Ovis aries: one gene and its partners. The protein of the gene in region 1 interacts with the protein of each later gene in a pairwise test. Links are inferred from orthologs where the notes say so. Each region holds a gene or a part of one and is shown in the gene's direction. Other genes may lie near its edges.

Region 1 (4,201 bases):
CAAGGTTCCCAAGCAGTGACGGATAGAGCTGGGCTTGAACCTGGCTTTGAGGGGTTCCAGAGCGCTGTCTGCTTCACGATGCCGCAGCTCTGGGCCAGGAAATCTCCTCCTGGTGCTCCAGCTTGATCTGGCCCTCCAGCTTGATCTGGCCCACTTCCCCACCCCTGGCTATCTCTAAACCCCAGAGCCAAGGCCAGAGGGCCCGGCCACGCTTCCAGTGGCACTGCCCACAGGTCTCTGTGCACACAAGGCCCCCGAGCTGGTGGCAGACCAGAGGGCTCTCCTGAGCGCTGGACTCCCCTTTCCGGCTTCCGCAGCTTGCTCTTTGAGGTGGTGCTTTGACCTTCTAGATCTCAGAGGGGCCTTCCAGTCCGTGTGCCAGGCTTCCCCATCCCCGCCCTCCTGGCAGTGCTCAGGCACGTACGGCCCTCTGGGTTGAGCCCCTCCCCAGCCCCGCAGCGCTTCACAGGACAAATGGTTAATCTGGGCCCGCTGTGCAGCAACATGCCTCTCGCTGGTGAAGGCAGGGGCTTTCTGGAACTTGCTCCCATCTTATCTACAGAGGTTTGCCCCAACTCGTCCCAGGAGCAAGTAAAGGTTCAGTGACATGTAGTTGGCAGGTGGTGGGATTATCAATCAGCCCCTTGTCAGCCCTGAGCTGGCTGGCTTTTGTGGGAATGCCAGGGCAGTGGGACAGGGGGCCGGGGGGAGCTGGAGAAGTAGGAGGGGTCTGTAGATGGGGGAGGAGAGGAGGTGAAGGGTGGAGGAGAAGAGTCCATTTGTAGGGTCAGGGAAGTGACAGATGCTGGCCCCCTCTGGTCACCTCAGCTGGTACCAGACTCAGGCTCCCTCTCCCGTCCTCAGTTTATGCCCATGGCCCCTACCTTCTTCCATGCACCTTGCCCACCAATCCCCAGAGCCTGGCAGGCTTAGACACAGGATCTGTGAAAGGGACCACATGCAGCAGCCCTGCGAAGTGAACTCCCAAACTGCGAGCCAGGAGCCAGCTGCCTGGGGGTGAGGGTCCCGGGCTGGAAGCAGCAGGGAAGTCCAGGTGAGGGAGGAGTTGGCCTGAGCCACTAACAGGGCAGGCGGAGGCCTGGCAGACGTGATGCAAGGTTCCTACCTTCCGTGTTTTCTCTTGGAGTGTAGAGATGAACCTGTAATCCAAGTGTTAAAATCATGGCCTGGGGCAAAACACCATTCTGAATCATCTCCTTTGTTGCATTTAAAAGAAAAAAAAAAGGAAGGAAAGAAAAACCCCACACCAGCCACGCTGAGGTGTGTAGGCAGCTGTGTTTGTCAGGAACGCAGAAGGAGTTGGCTCCCCTTTGGGGGAGGAGACGCAATCCCACACCCCCTCGGGAGGGATATATAAGGAGCCCCGGGGCTGGGGGTGGCAGGCGCAGCCCTCAGGTTTCAGCCCAGCCCGCGCCTCCTGCCAGCTTCTCTCGTGCTGCTGAGAGCTCAGCACTGCTGCTTGCCCATGGCCACCACGCTTTTGCAGACTTCTTCCTCCACGTTTGGGGGTAGCTCTACACGAGGGGGTTCCCTTCTGGCTGGGGGCGGAGGCTTTGGTGGGGGGAGTCTCTATGGGGGTGGTGGGAGCCGCACTATCTCAGCGTCTTCTGCCAGGTTTGTCTCCTCGGGGTCAGCAGGGGGCTATGGGGGTGGCTTTGGTGGAGGGGCCGGTAGTGGTTATGGGGGTGGCTTCGGAGGTGGCTTTGGTGGGGGTTTTGGCAGTGGCTTTGGTGACTTCGGTGGTGGAGATGGCGGCCTCCTCTCCGGCAACGAGAAGATCACCATGCAGAATCTCAATGACCGCTTGGCCTCCTACCTGGAGAAGGTGCGCGCCCTGGAGGAGGCCAACGCCGACCTGGAGGTGAAGATCCGAGACTGGTACCAGAGACAGAGCCCGACCAGCCCGGAGCGTGACTACAGCCCCTACTTCAAGACCACTGATGAACTCCGCGACAAGGTAAGGCCTCTGGTTTTAGGGAGAGGGGAGCAGGTAGCTGGTACCAGCTGCCCCGGGGGAAATCCTTTTCTGCCCAGGCAATGATGTGTAACCTTGGCAAGTGGGGGAATGCATTCCAGATGTGGATGGGGGCACACTTTGCTCAGCCTGGCAGTGCTGGGGATCCTGTGAATCTGGTCTGGACCAGTAGGGGCCGAGATGAGAGCAGTGCTCACACCTGTGGGGCTCTGTCTAGAGCGTTCCTTTGCTTCTTTTGCAAGAATAAGGGTGCAGAGATGAAACTCTGGTCCTAGGAGTCCTGAACGCCAGGACCGCTTGCCTCACCCTCTGAATGTCTTGGGTGGCAAAAGCCTTAGGAGACCTGGGACTGCGCATGGACTCTGCCAGCTCTTCACTCACCCTTCACTCACTTGCACCAGTTTCCGCAGCTGCCCTCCAGGTTCCCACTGACTGGAATGTTCTATAGATGCAAGGCTGTGTTAAGGTGTGCAGGAGGCCAGCGACCATGAGTTGTCCACACGGGAGGCTGGTGGAGCACCCCAAGAGGTCACCCTGCTCCTGGCCAGGCAGTTCCCACGGGGCATTCCCTGCCACCCTCCTTGGTCTTTCCTGTCTCAGAGACCAGGAGGGTGGCATGGGATGGCTGGATTCTGTCTGGGGACCCTACAGCCTACTGTTGCTGGTATCCAAGGGAAGATGGTCAGTGAGGGGTCCCATGTGAGGTGCACGGCAGGGGGAGCAGCAGGGAAGAGGGAGGGGCCCTCTTGACACCAGCTCCCTTTATCCTGCAGATCCTGGCGGCTGCCATCGACAACTCTCGGGTCATTCTGGAGATTGACAATGCCAGGCTGGCTGCGGACGACTTCAGACTCAAGTACGCTCCTTCCGCATTGTCCCCCAGCTCAAGTGGTCCAGACCCCTTAACCCTCCTTACTTGGGTTTCCTCTTCCTTTCCAGGTATGAGAATGAGATGGCCCTGCGCCAGAGCGTGGAGGCTGACATCAACGGCCTGCGCAGGGTGCTGGACGAGCTGACCCTGACCAAGACCGACCTGGAGATGCAGATCGAGAGCCTGAACGAGGAGCTGGCCTACCTGAAGAAGAACCACGAGGAGGTGAGGATCAGGCAGCGGGTGGGGCTGGTGGGAGGCAAAGTGGGGCCACTGGGGACTCTTCTTAGTTGGCTGAAGGGCTGAGTGGTTTTGATATGCACCCGCCAACACAGAGGTCCCCATGGAGGGAAGGATCACTGGTGACCCAGACTCCTTATCTTCTCTGATACATCGCCAGGCCAGGTGGCCGGTGGGTGCTTCTGTCCTGATCTGTTTCATGAGCTCATAGAAGGGCCCTACTGTCTGAGGTCCTCCCTTGGCAGGACCAGAGACTAGAGAGGAGGAGAGACCCTCAGAGCTGAGAGGCCTGTGCGATCAAACCTTTTCATGTGGCATGGGCCAGGGTGGGTGTGGGGCAGAACTGAGGTCATGTGGTGCATTAGTGATTAGTGCTGGAGCCAGGATTGGCACGTGGGACCCCAGACTTAGCTCTGGCTACCGCCCTCTGTCTCTGAATGCCTACCCTCCCTCCCCTGAAGGAGATGAAGGAGTTCAGCAACCAGCTGGCTGGCCAGGTCAACGTGGAGATGGATGCAGCACCAGGCGTGGACCTGACCCGCGTGCTGTCAGAAATGAGGGAGCAGTACGAGGCCATGGCGGAGAAGAACCGCCGGGATGCCGAGGCCTGGTTCTTTAGCAAGGTGGGTCTGACTGGTGGGCCTCTCCTCAGCTTCCTGAGCCCCTGGGAGGCCCATGGAGCTCACTTCTCTTGTGTGTGACCTATAGACGGAGGAGCTGAATAAGGAGGTGGCCTCCAACACAGAGATGATCCAGACCAGCAAGTCGGAGATCACAGACCTGAGACGCACGATACAGGGGCTGGAGATCGAGCTGCAGTCCCAGCTCAGCATGGTCTGGCTCCCTGCTATGCCCCTCTTCCTCCTGCCAAGCCTCCCCCTCCCCACCTCTGCCATCCTTCATGGCTGCTTTAAGCATTGGTGTTCCCAAGCTCCCTCCGGGGGAGGTTCCATGCATTCCATTTGGCCTGTCTCCCCAAGCCCTCGATGGCTGGCTAGCCTGATGCAGTGTCTCTGGTCTGCTGCCCACTAGAAAGCCGGGCTGGAGAGCACGCTGGCAGAGACGGAGTGCCGCTATGCCGCACAGCTGCAGCA
Region 2 (4,260 bases), on another chromosome or scaffold:
CAACTGCCTGCCTTCAGTGCTACTGGGCTTGGCTTTAACTTTCTGGAAGATCCACCACATCTTCTCGGGTTTCAAGAAAAATCCTTTTAGGAGTTGAGGGGGTCTCTTCTTCCCTTCCTGATGTGATGACCTTGCACGATGACCTGATGTGACTTCCTGGCATGATGACCTTGTCCTTCATAGGCTTCCAAATCTTTTTTCTCTGAAATGGCCAAAATATGTCCCCCACACTGCCAAAGTACACAGGTGACTCAAGGTCAGAATCTGGAGGGTAGGCCAGTCATTGTTCTGCACACAATCTTCATCTAAATTAATGTAAAACCTTGTCTGAATGGTATGTAAACTGGGTTGAGTTATCGTCAGCAGGCTAACCATCCTCCTTCCCCCCACCAAACGATGGGGCTCCTACAGATTAAAAGATCACCCTCTTTCTAGGCAGTGTGTGATTTGCCTATATCTGAAATAGCAGCATGTACATTGCACAGATTATGTACCTTGTTTTTTTTTTTTTTAATTTTTTTTTAATTTTTGTGGACGCTGTGCCTCCTCTTTTCACTTTCTGGGAAATCGGCCAGTGTTTCAAGGACCCTGTAAAGAACAAAATAAATGTTTGTAGGTAGTTTCAAGGGAAAATGAGTATGCTGGATGCAACTCTGCCCATCCAAAGAAAAGTATTTGAAGTGCCTTTCTGATATTTTAATGAACTGGAGAGATTCAGAAGGTGGATTTTACTAGTTTACTTTTCAGATTTTGATCAACATGTGAGTGTGTTTATGTATGTTGGGGAGGAGGAACTGTTGAGAAAGTGTAGGCAAAGGAGTGCAAACTTCGCAAAGTCCAGCTGAAGAGACTGAAATTGATTGTGTGCAAAGTCAGCTGTATCTGTCTGTTAATCAAGCTCTAAACGCTTGGTGAAGAAAGTGTGTAAGAACCTTCAGCATATAACCTGTCCTCGTTGCCCTTTATAAAAGGGATTTCACTGAAATTTGGGACGTTCCGCAGTCGGCTGTTCCTTTTTTCAGGATATCAGCCTATTGGGGAGGCTGATTCTGTGAGATGAAAGAGACGGAGAACCGGCTTCCAGCAAAGGCTCCCGCCGGCGATCCTGGGCCATGTTTTCCTTCCCCGGCTGCGGAGTCGCCGCAGTTTGCCTCGGGGGGCCCGCGTGGGTCCAGGGCAGGACAGCGCATCACCTGTTGGGGCCTCGGGGAAGCGCGCGGCGCGGGGGCGGGCGGGGGGCCCAGCCCGCATTCCTCAGGGACCCGGCGGGCGGACAGACGGACGGACCAGGGGACGCGCGCGCGCGGAGGGACGCGGGAGGCCGGGCGCTGGAATGCAGTCTTCCCCGGCGAGAGAGACTTTGCACGGGAGTGGAGAGTAGTTTGGGGTGGGGTTTCGCACCGTCCCCTCCTCCCCACCCCCCGGGCCCCCTTCCAGGCGCTTTCTGGAAGCGTTTTTTCAGAACGGCGCCCTGAAGTTTAAAGACCAGAGAGGAGCCTGGGCCGGAGGCAGGGACAATGGAAGAAAACGAAAGCCAGAAATGTGAGCCATGCCTTCCTTACTCAGCAGACAGCAGACAGATGCCGGGTAAGTAAGAGGCTCTCATTCAAAGATGGAGTTACGGTTCCGCGTGTGCCTCGCGGCTGGCTGCTGCTTTTTATAACTGCAGACCGAGCGCCTGGCACAGAAAAGGCGTATTTCTTGGGGTGGTGCGTTTTCCCAACTCAGTGGAGAGCTGTAGGCTGGACTTTTTTTTTTTTTTTTAAATCTCTGGCAGGATTTTCTTAAGCTGCCAAAGAAGTGGCGGGGTGGTGTTACACTGGTAGCCCTGTAAGCCGTCAATACTTGCTAGATCTCCAGGCAGTGGCAAATACATCCCCAAAGCAGCTTTCCATACTCCCTGCTCCAGCCGCGGGAGAGAGCAGCTCTTTCTGGAAAGGTCTCTCGGGACGGCAACACTTCCATTCATTGGTTGGGGGGATTCCACGAGGCACAGGCACGTCGGAGGCAAGTTTGGTCGTATTTGAGAGTTAAATCGCAGAGTTTTCTTTTTTTTTTCCTTTTTCTTTTTTTTTCCGGATCGGAACAGCAGGGGAGCACTTGTCCATGTAGAGGAGAGATGGAGCTGTGCGAATTTTCTGTATGCTTGAATTCAAAAGTTGGGAGCTGTTAAGACAGTTCTGATAGATTTTCTCTGAGCAGTTTCTCTTTGATTGTGTTTATAATAGACTTGTCTTTTCCGTAGGGAACTTCCAGAAGCTTATGTCGTTCCAAAGAAATTATGCAGTGTGGTTGGGTGGGGAAAGGGCTCCTCGGCTGGGCCGTCCAGTGTCTGACGTCTGTGACTCCGGAGCCTACCTTGCATGCACTATCGCGAAGGCGGCGGGTTTGGACCCGGCGCAGTCCAGAACCCTCCCTGCCCCCACTTTAGCCCAGGTTCATCCAGGGGCCAGTTAATAGCCCTGCTTGCGGGGCTGCAGTGCTGTGCGTGGGAGTAACAACAATGCACAGGGGAAAAGGTGTGTGTTTTTTAAAAGGCAAAAGGGAAGTCACACATGACTCATCCACACTGAAAATGCAAAACTAAGCCAGACAGAAGAAAATACAATTAGAAGAGATAGAAATTCCCCCCGGTGAAAAGCAGGAAACTTTAAGACCAGTGAACCCTGGAGAATCCCAGACTCAGAGTCCTCCGCTTGCTGGCTGTGTTTGTGCTGTCAAAGCACCACACTCTCCTTGGGGGCCCCCGGGCAGTGGGGCCCCCTCCCCTGCCCTCTTTGATAGACAGGGTCCTGCAGCAGGAATTCAACCTCTGGGCTTCTGCTGCATTACGAAATACTCGGAATCTGCAGGCGCAACAAGAGAGTGGAACTGATTTAAGAAAACAATTTACAAACAACCACAGCAGTTCAGAGACACTTCAGAGACTGAGATGGTGAGACTGATGCAATGTGATCACTTTATTTCATTTATTCACTAAATATCAAGCCTCTGTTCTGTGGGAGTCACTGTTTTAGCTTCTGGGGATCCAGCAGTGAACAAAATAGATGAAAAGCCCTTGCTTTATATTCTAAGGGCCAAGTTTGGGGGAAGGGGAGTGGAGGACAAAAACAATAAATGTAAAATAGCATGTTATATGGTGGGGTTGCCGTATTTGTCAAACAAAAATAAAAGGCTCATTTAAATTTGAATTTCAGGTAAAAAATAAACTTTTTTTTTAGTATAAGTGTATCCCATGCAATATTTGGGATACACTTATGCTAAAAATTATTCGTTGTTTATCTGAAATTCAAATTTAACTGGGCATCTTATATTTTATCTAGTAAGTTTATTAAACTGTGGGGGAAAATAAGGCAGAGAAAGAAAATATTGAGTATGGGGGTGGTCAGGGGTGAAACTGTAGTAGGGTTATTAGAGATGGCCTCACTACTATGTTGGAGGAGGTAGTGGCAACCCACTCTGGGGTTCTTGCCTGGAGAATCCCCATGGACAGAGGAGCCTGGCGGGCCACAGTCCATGGGGTCTCAAAGAGTCGGACACAACTGAGCGACTCAGCACTGCTGTGATACTTGAAGGGACATCAGAAAGAAGTGAGGGAGAGAAGAAAAAGGGCATCTTCAAAGAACAACATGGGGAAAGGATAGATAGAAAAGAGGTTAAGAGAGAATTCTAGGCCCTGTCGGGTAGGGCCTCTGATAGTAGAGTAAGGACGTCGGCTTTTATTTCAAGGGAGGTGGGAGCTGCTGGTGGGTCTGAGAGGTTTCTTCAGAGGTAGTCCTGGGTGCTCTACTGAGAATCACCCGAGTGGGGTTGGGGGCAGAGCAGAGAGCTCAGTTAGGAAGCTTTCAAAGTAAACCAGTCACTAGCTTGGATCAGCAGGTAGGGGAGTAGAACAGGTGGTCGTAAGAAGACAGACTTTAGATATGTATTGAGGATGAAACTGAATTTGCCAAGGGATTGGATACAGGATATAAGAGAGACAGCGGAGTCAGAGATGACTTCAGAAACTTTGGCCTGTGCTTCTGGGAAGTTGTCATTTACCTGAAGGGGAAAGTATTGGAGAGGAGTAGCGGAGAGGGTGTTTGTGGCTTGGAAGTGGAGAGCAGAAAATCTTTTGGCTATGGTAGGATCTGGAAGCTTATCAGGCATCCAAGTGGAGATGTTGATTGCAATTTGGATGTTTGTAGCTGGAATTTAGAAGAGGGGACCCAGGATTGTTAGAAATGGTCCAGGATTGAGTCTGTGTGCAGAAGGAGGCTA
Region 3 (4,281 bases), on another chromosome or scaffold:
AGTACTTTTTTCCTCTCACTCATTTTAATTCATCAATTTTATTATCAAATGATACAGTAAACAGCATCATTGTCTTCCTCTCTGGGATTTCTTTATCCTGACCCCCACTTACTAGGTACCCATCTATACCTAATCTATGCCTCCCCTGAACTCAGAGAAAGGGGTGAGAAAGTTTGGGAGTAGGATATTTTAGTCTCCTTTTGCCGCCATAAACAAGTTACCACAAACCTAGTGGCTTATAAACAACACAAATTTCTTCTTTTATAGTTCTGAAGGTCAGAAATCCAAAATGAGTTTCACTGGGCTGAAGCCAGGTGTCAGCAGAATTGCATCCCTTCTGCAGGACTGTGAAAAGAATCTGCTTCCTTGTCTTTCCCAGCCTCTCAAGACTCCTCACATTCCTTGGCTTGTGTCCCTCCATCACTCTGACCTCTGCTTAGATCACCAAGTCTACTTTTCTGACCTGACCCTCTTTCATTTTTAAGGACCCTTGTGATTACATGGGAACCATCCAGTAATTGTGGATAAACTATCTCAAGATCCTTAAGTGGATCACATCTGCAAAGTCTTCTTCACCACGTAAAGCAGCATATTCACATGTTCCTGAGATTAGGGTGTGGAAGCCTTTCTGGCGGCAAGATCCTGCCTAACACAGTGGGTATCAGTATGCCAGCCAGTCTCAAGAGGAGAAGCTCTGATGGAGGAATCCGATTTGGAAAAGTATGGGAACACATTCTCCAGAAACAGGAGAAAAGGGGCACGAACGTAGGTTAAGAAAAAGAACCGTTATATGGTCAATGAAGAGGAAGTTCTTTTTCTGAGGATTAAGGAACAGGTTCAGGATTTGAGAAGGGAGGAAAGACTTGGAAAATCTGCAACTAAAGAAGAAAAAGCAACTGCTTCCCTGGGGCTTATTTGAATAAAGGCAGTTACCTGAGTAAGACACGAGGTCGGAGGTCACACCAATTAGCATGTACATGAAGATGGCACTAAACCCACTGCCAAAAGAGCCATCTAAATTTATATTCAAATTTTACAATGAAACCAAGGAATGACATCAGAATTAAAGTGCTTCTCCTACCTCTTTCTGATATGCCATTGTTCCTCTTTTTCCTTGATTCCTAGTAGAAACTTGACACTAATTAAGCTAGCATATGGGGGGGTGGGGAGGGAGATGAATCACAGGCCACACTGGAAATAAACCAAGAAATAAGAAAACTTGATCTCTGCCCCAAAGAACAACCATAGTGAAAAACTGCACTAGCAAGGGGCATGTGTACAGAGAGTTTAAACTTTTTAAAGGACAATACTAGGAGTCTGCTAAGATCTATCAGCCGCTTCTTTTTCCTAGGACATTTGCCCAGGAGACAGCTACTGAAGCCTCGTGTATTTCTCTCTTGCTGTGTCACAGGATGTTCTTTCTCCCCCATCCCCCCGCCACCCCTGCTCTGCTCTCCCGCTGCATGCGTGTGTACGTGTGCGTTTGGTTTCTCTCTCCCCTGTAAGAGCGCAGCTGCCCGCCAGTCTCCTGCTGCTGCTGCTGCTCTGACTAGCTTTTGCTGCCTCTTGCCTCTCCTTTCTCTTTCTGCTTAGCACCTTGCATTCTGGTAAGTATGACAAACACTCCCCCAGCCCTGTGAGATGTAGGGTGCGGTTTGTGGTGTTCGAAACTTGCAACTTTGAGACTGCCAGTGAACTGCTGAAGAACTTTCCATTGTTTTATTTATAAGTAAAATGTGTTGCTCAGGAAGGGATGTGTGTGTGAGTGTGGTCATCTAATGGGACTGCCAGGACAAGTGAAAAATAAAATTCTCTCTCAGAGGAGGCAAAAGATGGGCAATAAAGTTTGTAGAAGATAAAACTTAGAAATAAGTTCTTGCTGTAAAACTAACTGATAAAGAAAGAGACAATTTACAAATAACAAGAGTTTTTTATTTTTTTTCGTTTTTGTCCTCTTGGGGACTTATTGAGGCTACTTTTAGGAACTGAGTTGTCCTGTGGTTTACAATGACTCAGTTATTGTGTTTTAAAGTAAATGTGGAGCATGAGTTTAAAGGAGATCATGCACTTAATATAAAAAAATCAATGATTATGGCCTCTGATGAATGAAGAATAAATCAAATACAAGCAAAACATTTGTATTCAAACTAACCACACTAAAACTCCTATGGACAGCTGGTTTTAAACTCATTGCTTTGAAGTCTGGTTTACTTTAGAGTTTATTTCATCCTCAGAAGGCCCCCTAACACTTTAAAACTCACATACAGGTTTAAACCAATCAATGTTTACTGTTTTCAATTTGATTTAAAAGGTATTCTCTTCCTTTTAGTTCTAAAGATGAGGTGTTAAAGGCCAGGGCTTCTTTTAGAAGAGCTTAAAATAACTACTGGCTGGACAGCAGGTGCCATGGATCTTTCTCCAAGTTCAGGGGAGGCATAAGTTATATATAGATGAGTGCACCCAACAAGCAGGGGTCAGGATAAAGAATTCCAGTGACGAAGACAATGAAGCTGTTTACTGCATCATTTGATAAGAAAGATGGTAAATTAAAATAAATGAGAGAAAACAGTTCTTCCTTCAAAGTTAGTGAGTACTTGGTGAGGGCCGCAGGTGGGTGGTAATGTCTGGACACTGAATTTTCTGTTCTTGTTGCATTCGAACATTTGACTTCACCTGTCCTGAGAAGGGGAGGAGGAAGCTGTATAGTGCATGGAGCAGTGTGTTTTTTTCACTTTCATGCCAACACAACAGCAAAACCTGTGGATTATTAGGACCCTGTCATAATTTCATGCTGCCAATTAGCAGCACCACCATTAATTATTATTCACAAGTAAAATGTACCATAACTTAAAGGCAGAAGCCAAACATATTGCAGCTCTAGAAATGGTGATAGCCAGCCACCCTAGAAAGCCTGATTCAGCCCATCCCTCACTCCCTATTTCCAAAGGGATTACTTGGGATTATTACATTATACATGGATTATTCCCCTGGTTCATTCCCTCCCTGCTTTTAAGACATTTCTACTTCTTAAAAATTATTGTTATCCTAGAGCTTCTTGACTGAGATGAGAAAGTCATACTATATTGGGGTGTTTTTTACCCCTAAAAGAAAGTCTGTTTTTATATTGGAACAAAAGACAGAAAGACAGAATGTTTGCTCAGTTGCATCTGACTCTTTGTAATCCCATGGACTGTAGCCTGCCAGGCTTCTCAGTCCATGGGATGGTAGATTCTTTACCAACTGAGCCACCAGGGAAGCCCTCATTGGAACAAAATGATATAGAAATTCAAGGAATTGTCATTATATCACCATGTTTCCATACACGTTCACATCTTTCCTCATGTAGTCTTATTTCAAAATTGATGCTGGTTTGAACCTCAAAAAAGTGTTTTTTTCTGATTAATTAGTACATGTCGCTCATCTGGGAAAAGGAAAATACCAGAAAAGCAAGTGTTTCCTGTATCCAGTATAATAATTGATCTATATTAATGGGCTCATGGGTTTCCCTGGTAGCTCAGATGGTAAAGAATCTGCCCCCAGTGCGGCTGGGTTCAATACCTGGGTCTAAAAGATCCCCGGAGAAGGAAATGGCAACCCACTCCAGTATTTTTGCCTGGAGAATTCCATGGACAGAGGAGCCTGGTGGGCTACAGTCCATTGGACTACAAAGAGTCAGACACGACTGAGTGACTAACACACAATGGGCTCATACTAATTAATATGCACTAAAATAGAGTTTAGACTGTTACTGTTATGAGTGATTTTAGTAAGGTCAGTGGCTCTTATACTCAATGTTTTAACTTTAGGAGAAAAGTATCAATTTAAATTTAGACATTAAATGTAGATTAAACATTAAATTAATGTATTTCTAATTACTGTAAATCTATGTAGAATTATAGATGAGAATGATAACACAAATTGGCTATTCTAAGCAAAATGACAGATATGACCATGAAAAATAATACCTTGAATTAATCTGTTAATGTCAATAACAGGAGATACTATTGGAAATTAAAGACCAAAATCAAACATATGCTAAAAGTATGACTTAATTTGGAAATGCTTCTCACAGTTTCTACCCAACTAATTGCAATATCAATGCTTTGTGGAAGTACATTCATTCTGTGTTAGAAACTGTAATCAGTAGGTACCAGTGTGGGGATAGCCTTACCATATGCCTGTAACTGGGTTAACTACATCAACCCTGGCTGTGCTTACCAACAGATACCACTCCCAGTATGGAGAGCAATCAGCCTGGGCAGCTGTCGGGGGAACCACCAT
Region 4 (3,980 bases), about 27 Mb from region 1:
AGGGAGGCAGGCAGTACTGGACGGACTGGGTCCCTGGGAGTGGGACACCTTGACGATAGAATTCTGAGACTTCATATCCAGACATCGGAGGCAGCAAACCCCGTGTCCAGCTGTGTGGGCACCGGGAAAGCTGGGATGGCTCATGGGGTTTAGAGCGCCCACACACCCAGGTTTTACTGCTGGAATTCTAAATTGTCTGACCTCCACTTCAAGTGTCTTCAGGTACTGAGTGACCACAGTGGGTGGTGCAGAGGCATACAGAAATCGGCCAGAGGTTGTTTCTGTTCTCAGGGAAACCATGTCACGGGGAGGAAAACATACACATAACTTTGTGGGGTGAGGAACCCGGCAGCTGTTAAAACAGCAATGGCTTTGCACCTGGGTGGGGATTCGTGAGCTCTTCAGTCCAGCTCTGCCCACAGCTTCCTAGGCTGTGAAGCCTTTGACAAATGACTTCACCTCCGAGCCTCATTTTGCTCATCTGTAAAACAGGGATAAACATAGCACCTACCTCACTAGATGGAGAAGGAAACGGCAACCCACTCCAGTATTCTTGCCTGGAGAATCCCATGGACAGAAGAGCCTGGCCGGCTCGCCAGTTCATGGGGTCGCAAGAGTCAGACCCGACTTAGCGACTAAACCACCACCACCACCACCTCACTAGACTGTGCGGAGCCAACCTTGTAAAGTTGTTTCTTCCAGAGGATGAGGTCCAGCCAAGGACATTTAAAATTCGTATGTGTGTGTGTTTTCTATACACTCAGGGGTTTTATCGTTGTATACGTAAAAATTCTTTTGTTTGGAAACTAGAGAAGCAGATACCCTCTCTGTGCTCTCCTGCGTTTTAGCAGCCATCATAATCTCGGTAATTATCTGATTTATTTGATTTGCTCTTTACTGCCTTCTTTCGCTAACAGGTAGGTCCCTGGGCGTAGGGATGGTCGATCCGATAGAACGTCCTGGCCCAGCGTTCAGAACCGAAAGCTGCACCGGGGGGCGTGGCCCAGGAGAAGGCGGAGGCGCACGCGGGCCGCGACCCTCCGAGCCGGGCGCGTCGACCTCTGCGCTGGGAGCCCGGCTTCGCGCAGCCCGAGCTGTCTCCGCCCCGACCGCCCGGCCCGCGCGTCCGCGCCGCGGCCGGCAGGTGGCGCCGCAGGCCGGGTCCTGGCGCCTGGAAGCCGGAAGCGGCGGCGTGGCCGGGGCGGGCTGGCCCTGGGTGCCCGAGCTCCCGAAGGGTCCGCCTTCTCCGCGCGGTCGCTGCCTCCCGCATTCCTCGCCCGTCCAGAAAGGGGCGCCGGGGGCGGGGTGGGGACGACTGGAGAGGGCCCCACGGATGCCCCTAGGACGAGCGGCCCTAGGCCCCCAGGGAACATGGGCGTGCTCCGGGCGGGACTGTGCCCGGGCCTCACCCAGGACATGGTCCAGCTCTTGAAAAGCGGCGGGATCAAGACAGGTGACCGCGGGCGCGCGCCATTGCGAGCCACAGGGCTGGCCCCGGCACACCCGGAGGGGCCCTTCTCCTCCCTCCTGCGCCCCCGGGGAGCCCGGAAACGCGGGCGGGGGCGAGCCACGCCCCTGGGAGGGTAGAACCCCCCACCGTGTGCCCGCCACCGCGCCGGGTCCCACGGTTCCGCCAGTACGCGCGGGCGCGGGAAAGTCGAGTGCGGACGCCCCGGGCCTCCCTCCCTGCCCATCAACCCCACGTGTTTCGTTTTCAGTGGTGGAGCTGGTTTCTGCAGACCTGGAGGAGGTCGCCCAGAAATGTGGCCTGTCTTACAAGGTGAGCTGATCATCTCCACGCTCCACACCTGGGTGTCTCTAAATGCCCATCCCCGAGCAGAGGGGTTCCTAAGGATTGATAACGGCGGCGTTTGAGACCCTGGGCGGCCCCTTCCTTTGACGGGTCGTTGCCTAAGAACTCTTTGGGGCTGCTGCAGCCCGGATCCTGAGCTGCCCCGCCCCTTCCGCAGGCCCTGGTCGCCTTGAGGCGAGTGCTGCTGGCTCAGTTCTCAGCTTTCCCTTTCAATGGCGCTGATCTCTACGAGGAACTGAAAACCACCACGGCCATCCTGTCCACCGGCATTGGAAGGTTTGTGTGTGTACGTGCGGGACAGTCAGAAGCAGGGCGACCTGACTTCCTCTTGCTGGGCTTTCGATGCTGGAGTCTGGAGCCAGCAGGCCCTTTCAGACAGTGCTGAGGATGGTCAGGACTTCTAAGTTCTCTTACCCTGTAAGAACGTTTCTCATAACTCGTAACTTTGGGGGATGCAGAATTATTGGGGTAGGGGGAACCTGTCCTGCGTGTTTAGTAGGTCATTTGGCAGCTTCCCTGGCCTCTGCCTGCTAGATGCCAGTAGCACCTCCCTTCTCCCCTTGTCTGATAGTCAAAAATATCTCCAGCTGTGATCCCTGGGTGGGTTGGGGGCAAAATCTACACTGGTTGAGAACCACTGAAACACAAGATGTCAGTATTTCATTATTATTCAGCAAATCAGAGCAACTCTTCTCTGGCCCTACCTCCCTGTCCACTTAAGGATGGATGGGGCAAGAGAGTGTGGCAGGACTAGGTTAAGTACCAGCCATTGACTTGTAGTAGATTATACAGTGGAACACTGAAGAACTGATGCCTTCAAACTGTGGTGCTTGGAGAAGACTCCTGAAAGTCCCTTGGACAGCAAGGAGATCAAACCAGTCAATCTTAAGGGAAATTAACCCTGAATACTCATTGGAGGGACCGATGCTGAAGCTGAAAGTCCTGTATTTTGGTCATCTGATGCAAACACTTGACTCATTGGAAAAGTCCCTGATTCTGGGAAAGGTTGAGGGCAGAAGGAAAAGAGGGCATCAGAGGATGAGATGCTGGGATGACATCACCAATGGAATGAACATGAACTTGGGCAAACTTCCGGAGACGATGAAGGACAGGAAGGCCTGGCATGCTGCAGTCCATGGGGTCGCAAAGAGTTGGACACAACTGGACAACTGAACAACAGCAAGGTTATACAATAGGTTGTATAATCTCTTCGTGATCCTGTGAGTTGGTGATTATTAACCCCACTTGAGTTTAGCACAAGAGGAACTAGGGGCAGTGGTGGGGCTCCAGCCCTGGGGTACTTGTTCCTGAACTTGGTTCACTCCTTGTACGCTGCAGCAGAAAGGGGTGAGAGTAGTTTCCTTCTGCAGTGTTTGGAGAGAGAAAGAGTTGGAAGAAAACAGGCGGCTTCTGGCCAAGGGAGGCTGACCTCTTCCCTGGCCTGTTTGTGCGGAATTTGATAAAGAACTCTGCCACCACAAAGGTCTTTGGATCGGCTTGGCCCTCGCTGTTTCCAAAACACGCTGTCTTGGCAGGGTTCACACAACCCAGTGCTTGCTTTCCCTGGGTTGAGGGTTCAGGCCTGTCGTTCATCAGGCAGTAGCCAGTGTCAAGCATGGGTACCGGAGATGGGCATGGGTGAGGCCCCTGCATTTAAGGAGCCTGGGGTCCACTGGGTAGAGAAGAGCAGGTGGACACGAGAGAGGTGTGAGCATGTGTGCCAGCAGCTAAGGAGGGGGTGATTAGCAGGAAGCAGGCCTGGCCTTTGGGAGTTTATAAAGCCAGCGTATACAGAGAGAGTGGTCAGGTGGTAAACTGGCAGGATGGCAGCCACCATAGGTCACTGCAGAGGAGATCAGAGAGGTTCAGGACCGCTCTGTGCAGCGAGGAATGGATGGGCCTTCTCTGAGTGCTCATCAGGAAGCAGGCACTGTTACTCTAGGTACATTATTTCATTTATCTTCTCTTCATTTATCCATCTACTTCCCTGATGGCTCAGTGGGTAAAGAGACACAGGAGATGCAGGTTCAATCCCTGGGTCAGGAAGAGCTCCTGGAGAAGAAGATGGCAACCCACTCCAGTATTCTTGCCTGGAAAATCCCATGGACAGAGGAGCCCGGTGGGCTGCAGTCCATGGGGGTCACAAAGAGGCGGACACGACTGAGCG

The links.
Region 2: the proteins of KRT15 (region 1) and KIAA1217 interact in binary tests that used the Homo sapiens proteins (3 or more experiments, as listed by UniProt). The two-hybrid records come from large-scale screens. The link is inferred for Ovis aries from reciprocal best matches to the Homo sapiens genes KRT15 and KIAA1217.
Region 3: the proteins of KRT15 (region 1) and TXLNB interact in binary tests that used the Homo sapiens proteins (3 or more experiments, as listed by UniProt). The two-hybrid records come from large-scale screens. The link is inferred for Ovis aries from reciprocal best matches to the Homo sapiens genes KRT15 and TXLNB.
Region 4: the proteins of KRT15 (region 1) and RAD51D interact in binary tests that used the Homo sapiens proteins (3 or more experiments, as listed by UniProt). The two-hybrid records come from large-scale screens. The link is inferred for Ovis aries from reciprocal best matches to the Homo sapiens genes KRT15 and RAD51D.

The regions. Positions count from the first base shown.
Region 1 is NC_056064.1:41,464,258-41,468,458, reverse strand, and holds the start of KRT15 (keratin, type I cytoskeletal 15), read left to right. Parts: upstream 1-1,401; 5' UTR 1,402-1,486; coding exon 1,487-1,978; intron 1,979-2,769; coding exon 2,770-2,852; intron 2,853-2,935; coding exon 2,936-3,092; intron 3,093-3,568; coding exon 3,569-3,730; intron 3,731-3,815; coding exon 3,816-3,941; intron 3,942-4,139; coding exon 4,140-4,201.
Region 2 is NC_056066.1:24,438,339-24,442,598, forward strand, and holds the start of KIAA1217 (sickle tail protein homolog), read left to right. Parts: upstream 1-1,460; 5' UTR 1,461-1,517; coding exon 1,518-1,587; intron 1,588-4,260. UniProt on the Homo sapiens protein: Required for normal development of intervertebral disks.
Region 3 is NC_056061.1:64,247,329-64,251,609, reverse strand, and holds the start of TXLNB (beta-taxilin), read left to right. Parts: upstream 1-1,481; 5' UTR 1,482-1,607; intron 1,608-4,224; 5' UTR 4,225-4,238; coding exon 4,239-4,281. UniProt on the Homo sapiens protein: Promotes motor nerve regeneration. May be involved in intracellular vesicle traffic.
Region 4 is NC_056064.1:14,695,704-14,699,683, forward strand, and holds the start of RAD51D (DNA repair protein RAD51 homolog 4), read left to right. Parts: upstream 1-1,180; 5' UTR 1,181-1,371; coding exon 1,372-1,453; intron 1,454-1,718; coding exon 1,719-1,780; intron 1,781-1,970; coding exon 1,971-2,089; intron 2,090-3,980. UniProt on the Homo sapiens protein: Involved in the homologous recombination repair (HRR) pathway of double-stranded DNA breaks arising during DNA replication or induced by DNA-damaging agents. Bind to single-stranded DNA (ssDNA) and has DNA-dependent ATPase activity.